Arabidopsis thaliana: one gene and its partner. The protein of the gene in region 2 interacts with the protein of the main gene of each other region in a pairwise test. Each region holds a gene or a part of one and is shown on either strand. Other genes may lie near its edges.

Region 1 (3,759 bases), on a different chromosome or scaffold from region 2:
TCAGTCAAAGATCCTATATCTTGAATTGGCACATTAGTAGCCTTTAATTCTTCATCTTCCCCTTCTTGCGTCAAGCTTTTTAATCTCTTGGATAAGAAACTTAGTTTCATATGTGCTCTCGTAAGATGTTTATCAATGTTGTCACTCTTTTCTTCAACTTCTTGGTCTATATCTTTAACACCATTCACCTTTTCCTCCATCTCTTTCAACTTCTTTCCCATGTCCATATTGTCATCAGTTTGAGATGAATTGTTTTCTTTTTGTAGAGCTCTAATCTGTGCTTTGAGATCATCGATTTCTTCTCTTAGTCTGTGTATTAAAGCTGCTTGAGATGAGAACAAATTCTCCAAATTGATCACATCATTCACAAGCTCATCGATTTTATCAGCCACGTCTGGAATAGTAAGACATGACTTAGCCTCAGAGTCATCAAACTCATCATTTACCTTTTCTCCTAATGACTCCAACTTCTCTTTCTCGCTGTATATCTCATGGTTTCCTTTCCCATCACCAAGCAATGCATCAGAAAGATTACCAAATTCCTCTGTTGATTCACTGATTTGTTTTCTTGAAACATCTACTTCTTTCACATTTTGTTCCTGTTTATCTCTCAGCTCTTCTAGTTTCTCTTGGCATGATTTGAGAGCTGTGGTAGACATCAATATCTGAGCTTCTTTATCTTCTATAACAACAGCACCTTCGTCAAACTCGTCTTGCAAACTAGAAACTTTCCCTTGTTTCTCCATGATACATTTCTCAATCTCCCAATACTTTGCAAGTCCATTCTCATAAGAAGTCTTCACAAACTCTTTCTCAGTTTGCAAAACAAGAATCTCTTTCTGCAACTTGTCAATCTCTTCCACCGCCTCGGTTTTACTCAGCCCGGACTTGTTAACAACGGACGAGGCATTCTGTTCTTGAATAGCTTTCCTTGACATGAACATCTTCTTGGCAGCCTCAGGGTCTTTTATGGGCAAATCAGGAACTTTTGGAACATTCTTATTTGATGTCTTATTTTTATGGTGTCTAGGTGAGACAGGAGCATCATCGTCGTCATCTTCGTTCATGGCAAACTCAGGGACTTGGTCAGGAAAAACAGATGCAATTGTGGTGTTGGCGTTTTGAAGCTCTTTAGAGATATGATCATACCGCTCTGCTAAAGCACGATAAGCCTTGAAAGATTCTTCTACAAAACTTATCAATTCAGGCCTTCTCTTGTAATACATTTCTGCACGCTTAGCAAATGAATCACCTTCATCTTCCAAAAGCTTAAGTGCATATTCCACCTTCTCCTCGATATCTACATAAACATTTTATCAAAAATATGTGGAAGAAGTGAAAAATGATGATAATATGGAATGTAAAAATATGTAACCTTGAAGGTTTTCTTCAAGCCATTTGGATTGTTTGGTTCGAACGTGGCTTGCCCACCACCAGGAGTACGCATTGCTCGCAGCTCTTCGTAGCATCTTTATTCTCTAATCTTTTTCTTGAAAAAAATTTCAATCAATTGAACAAAATCTCATCTTTTTCTGGAGGTTTCGTTCATGACAACCAAAGGAGATGTGTTTTTTTTCTCTCGTTATTATTGTTGTTAATCTTGTTGATAGAGAATGGCGTAGAGAAAGATTCGGTGATACATAGTATTAATGATAAGTTGCTATTTAAAACACATGCAACATTGGATCTGAATAATAGTCCAAAGCATAATGCTGGTTGATTGATGATACATTGATACTCGTACTAATTAAACGGTAACGGAAACAAACTAGTCTCGTCCTCTTTTTTTTTTGGCTTCTATTTTAAGATTAGATTGTGAGATCATAGTTGGTCCTGAAATCACCATGGACAGTGCAAAAACAAATAGACATTCCATTAAGAAGATATTTCTAAGATATGTACATTATATTTGATAGTTGGTCCTGATTCCTGAAATCACCATGGACTTGTTCTTTGTTTTTCTTTCTATATTCGTTCCTATGAGGATGATTTTGTAAATAAATATGCCCAAGCATCAATTTTTTATACGAATCTATTAGCCGCAACAAGTCTGACGTGTCGAAATACGTGGCAATTTGTTCACCACTTTCCACTTTACACGGAACGTTTCTCAATACGAAACGGCATCGTTTCTTGTGTCTGCTAAATGCGAATCCCCTTGTTCGTCCTGTCTTCGAAGAATCTCCCTGAAGAAGACTTCAAACCCTAGAATTTTGTTTGTTCCCTCGATTTTTGATTCACTGGGTAAGTATTTTATACCCTTAATATGTTTATGGTTCTTTACCGAGTTTCGATTGTAAACTCCGATTTTTGAATTCGGGTTTCGTCTGGTTTTCATGAGGAATTTTAACTTTGTAAGTTTTGATGTTGGATGTTTCCTCGAGATGAGATTAGGTTAAAATTAGCTGTTTTAAGTTGAGTTAAGTTGGGATTGTGATCGAGAATTTTAATCCAAGTTGTAGATTTTAGGTTACTCTCTGGTAATGAATATGGCACGCCGACGAAATTGAATGGTCTTGTGTTTTCGTAAGCTCTAGTTCGTTCTCAGTTCAGTAGCAGATTTTGTTGATTGCTAAGAATCTTAAGGATCACACTGCCATAGGTTATAATTGCTTCAACTATTCTCACAGTTTTGTGAATGAGAGATTTGGAAGTTTAAGAAATGCAAATTTTACTACTTTTTGTTCCACCCACCGAAGCTAGACTTTCAATGGTCTACTGTTTGCTGTATCTGAATCATACACACAGGTTTTAACTGGTCTGCTTCATTTCTACGGTGCAGAGTTTGTGTTGGCATTCATTAGTCTCTTTCCGTTAGGCTGTGAGGCTTATGATCGGTGCCACTAACGTTACTGGCTAAGTCATTGAATCTGATTAAAATATGGCCCTTTATGGTACATTGCAGTTGTCTCATAGTCTGGGTTTGTGCAGAAACCAACGGTTTTGTAATCCAGAAAATGTATGTTTCTTCCATTTTAGCCCTGACATCCTTTTCTTTTAATCATTTCTTCCCTTCATCTTTCGAAAAATGTACAATTTTTCAGAGTGCCATGAGAAGGAGGCTGCATATATCAAATGGTCCTCTCTCATTAGGTGTTCCGGTAATATTTCAAACAAAATTTACTCTAGCCTTTCAAATTCGGTTGCTGATAGTTAGTAACATTACTTTTCTGCTTATAGTTGGGACAACATGGTTTCAGCAACATATTACTCTCAAATTACCTTCGTAGGCCTATTTGTTCAGTTCCATGCAGAACCACCGCTTTTAGGTGTCATTCCTTTTCTGCAAGCGGCAAGGCAATTGAACCTGCTGTTAAAGCTGTCACCGTGGTGCTAACAAAGTAAGACTCCTTGTTTCCTATCATCACATGCAGAATGACCACCTTGTAAAATTGGAAACTATCATTATTTTTATTTAGTTGATCTTCATGGATCTGAATGATTGCATAGTAATATTTGGGCATCTAACTCAAAATGAATGAATTAACTCTACTCATAAACATTGTGGACTTGAGCCAAACATTGATGTATGCAGGCCTTGTCATTACCATGGCTCCCCTTAGGGAAGTTGTAATTTTTTTGGTGGGGAAATCTGAGGGGGTGCATTTATGTTTCTCGTAATTTCTCTTCTTTTTTTATTGCACTCTGTAATTATTTGCATTCCGTTTTTTGCAGGTCACACGGGTTGATGCAACAATTCCCTTTTGTATATAAATTGGTTCCAGCTGTTGCTCTTCTTGTTTTCTCCCTGTGGGGTCT
Region 2 (3,424 bases):
TAATGGTGCTTATCAATTTTAGTAACAGAAAGGAGATGAGATAATAGAAGAAATAGGTTGAGATGCTGAAGAAATCAGAGAAGGAAAGGAAGAAGAAAGGAGATGATGAAGAAGATAAACATTCTTGAGTTCTTAATCGATAAACGTTTACCAAGCAAGACAACAAACTTAAATAGAAAGCAATACTAAGAATAACAGGCTTTAAACAATATAAAGCCCACAAGCCCAATTCATGACCTATCAGTGTCAGGTTGGAAAACTTTGTTGAATCTCTAGGTTTTTCTCTTGGTTTCTCTTAACTTGATGAGGACATTTAATTTCTTGTATCAGTGATCTCAATATTTCGGAGTCTTATTTTCTTTTAAAAATTTCACTCGACAAACATATGAATGTTCCAATATGAAATCGATGATACTAAACTCATAAATTGAAATTTTCACAGTAGAAATTCTATTTTTTTTTTAATCGATTACTAATAATTAAGGCCCAAGAACTCATTAAGAATCTGTCTTCTTCGTTGTTCAAGTCAGTTAAATAGAACTGTTAGTGCAGAGAGCTGTCTGTAACGAACAACTAAATCTTCTCATATTATTTAGTTATTCATTATAAAATTCTGGCTTGACAATCTCTCTTGGCTATTATTATCAAAGTCCGACTGAAATTTTGACTACATAACTAACAGATATTTCACTGGCCTTGAGCGAGGCACAAACTAGTGGTCTACTTTTAGAGATCACCGTGGTGAAATGTTTGATTTCAAGATTGTGTTTATGGAACAATGATGGAACTTAACTAGAGACTTCGAGCTAACAATGTTTTAGGATCAAGTATTCAAATTGATTCAGTTAGATAAGATTTGGTTGTATGATTGTCTAAATGATTTTTATTTGATGTGTGAGGACAAACTCATATCCAAAATTCTCATGGTATTAAATAAGAAACATAAATGTCGAAGTTGAAAGCAAAGTGTCCGTAGCATGGAGCGTACGGCTGGACAGTTGGGGCAGCCCACGCTTTCGCATTTAAACCATTGCTAATTTGCTATATATCTATACACACTATTTGAGTAACTCCGGAAGAGTTATATATTAATTGACCAGTAGTGATTACTCGCAAGTAGCACAACGTCTGTTAAATTATTGAGTATGTAAATGCAACTTTTACCAAACTAAACTTCACTTTAAAACGTTGTATGAACTATGAAGCAAATAGTGGTGTTCTCTATGCAGTACCTAATAAGAAAATCATCATTTCAAAGAACAGATACATGCATTTAATTTTAGAAGAAAAGTCGTGTTGGTATTATTGGTATGACACGTAAATGGAAGAAATATAAAGTCAGTTGGTGGGTCATTCTGTACGAATGGACCATAGTACGGCGTTTATTTCCCCCAAAATTCATTAATTTCACTAACTCATCTTTAGAAAGCAGTACTATATCCGTATTTATCATTTGGATTATATATAACCGCATGCACTAATAGACTTGACACTGTTCTTCCTTCTACTACGTTTGCAATAATAAAAACAACCATGCAACAACTTTTTAAAAGAACATTAATCATGCATGGTTTCTAAAAATCTGTAAAAAGAGAGAAAAGAATAGTGACAAATTGACACTGCACGAGACATTCGGAGTCACGGAATTGTACATATTTTTGTACTGTCCCTGCTTCGTATACTCCAAGTACGTCCCCCGCAATTTACGCCTCTCTTTTCCTAATTCTTTTATGTTCCGTTGAAATATATAACCACATTTCAGACTGGATTTATCTATTTAAATTTATGAATTATACCATACATTTCCACGCAACATCTCTTTCACAACTTTTCCTATTGTCCACGGCAAATGCAGAGCGCTACGACCTCTTTTCCACGAAACCAAGAAATAAATATATTTATGACTGGACTTTTTTTCTTTTGAATCGGACTTGTCTACTTTAATTCACAAAATTAAAAATATATGTTAATAAGTGTACCTAGCAAGTACAACACTTTTCCAGTTTTACCCTCGTCTCTCTATTTATAAGACCTTCTCACTCTCTTGAGTCTTGCCTCTTGTAAATCACACTACTCGGCTCTTTAGAGGTTCTTTGGACGATGAAACAACTAATCCGCCGTTTATCGCGTGTCGCGGACTCAACACAGTATAGCCTCCTCCGGTCTGAATCCCAGCGTGGCCGCACCAAGAAGGAGAAACACAAATCTTGGGTTCCCGAGGGGCACGTGCCTGTTTACGTAGGCCACGAGATGGAGCGGTTCGTGGTGAATGCGGAGCTGCTCAACCACCCCGTTTTCGTAGCGTTGCTGAAGCAGTCGGCTCAAGAGTATGGATACGAGCAACAAGGAGTGCTTCGCATCCCTTGCCACGTGCTTGTGTTCGAACGCATCTTGGAGTCTCTCCGTCTCGGACTCGCCGATCGAGTCACATGACCTACACGATCTCTTTTGAGATTTAAGAAGTTTCTAGTGTCTTATAGTATCTTGCTAGCTATAGGGGAAACAGAGTTATGTAAATTACATATTCTTTATCTAATTGGTTTATCAGATCTATTTGAAGATGGGATTATATATATAAGTGAAATAATCGAGATTTAAGGCTTTTATTTTTCTGGTTTTCATCAACACATGCATGAAGAATTTGGTTTGGAGAAACCGCCGCAAGATGTTTCCCATAAGTATGGCAACAGTATCATTAGCTTCTTCCCAAACTTGGGGGAATAGATAACCTCACAAAATCAATAGATAAGCTCACAGAAAAACAAAATGTGCCACTCTTTTTTTTTTTTTTTCCAGATAAGTAAGTGGCAGGGAGTATGTATGATCCCATGTTACTTCACCTCCACAACCACATTCGTAGTCACCCATATTTATTAGCTTTTGTATTTATTTTTTTCATTTTCTAACAAAGGATCAGAAACCGATCATACAGCTAATTTTATGTGATTGTGAATAATTAGAGTTTTTTTTATTATGAATCTAGATATATACAACAATCAATCATGATTAAAACCATACTATACAAATTCGAACTTTTGCTTACAAAAAAAAAAAAGATTCGAACATGGTTCATCAATCGGATGGTGAATTTTATGACCATAAGAATAACAAGAAAAATCTTACAAACCCCTCATTTATTACGTTTTCTATGTTTTTAATTAAATAAATTATGTTCTGCTATTAAATTCCCAAAATCGAACTACAAGAAAGTAATAAAAACATTATGATTATTGCATTCCCAAACCATACATTAGTGCTTCTCTGTTTCGCATTGTCAAAGTCACCATGGTCCACACGGCGATTGAAATCTACAATATACAATTATGTTAGAATCAGAATGAAAATAATTGATTTATTCTAAACTTCCAAAGTTTGAATAAAATCACAATAAAAATTTTAACTGCTAGATTAGCATAAAATATGA

The links. The genes of interacting proteins can lie anywhere in the genome.
Region 1: the proteins of AT1G56150 (region 2) and NET2C interact in a two-hybrid assay, tested with the Arabidopsis thaliana proteins (one large-scale study listed by BioGRID).

The regions. Positions count from the first base shown.
Region 1 is NC_003076.8:3,303,128-3,306,886, reverse strand, and holds the start of NET2C (Kinase interacting (KIP1-like) family protein), read right to left. Parts: upstream 1,601-3,759; 5' UTR 1,470-1,600; coding exon 1,376-1,469; intron 1,301-1,375; coding exon 1-1,300. Other genes in the region: MSL2 (MSCS-like 2), read left to right, coding at 2,882-2,959, 3,045-3,101, 3,181-3,341, 3,676-3,759. UniProt on the Arabidopsis thaliana protein: Plant-specific actin binding protein. May be part of a membrane-cytoskeletal adapter complex.
Region 2 is NC_003070.9:21,015,332-21,018,755, forward strand, and holds AT1G56150 (SAUR-like auxin-responsive protein family), read left to right. Parts: upstream 1-1,979; 5' UTR 1,980-2,100; coding exon 2,101-2,433; 3' UTR 2,434-2,791; downstream 2,792-3,424. UniProt on the Arabidopsis thaliana protein: Plays a role in the regulation of cell expansion, root meristem patterning and auxin transport.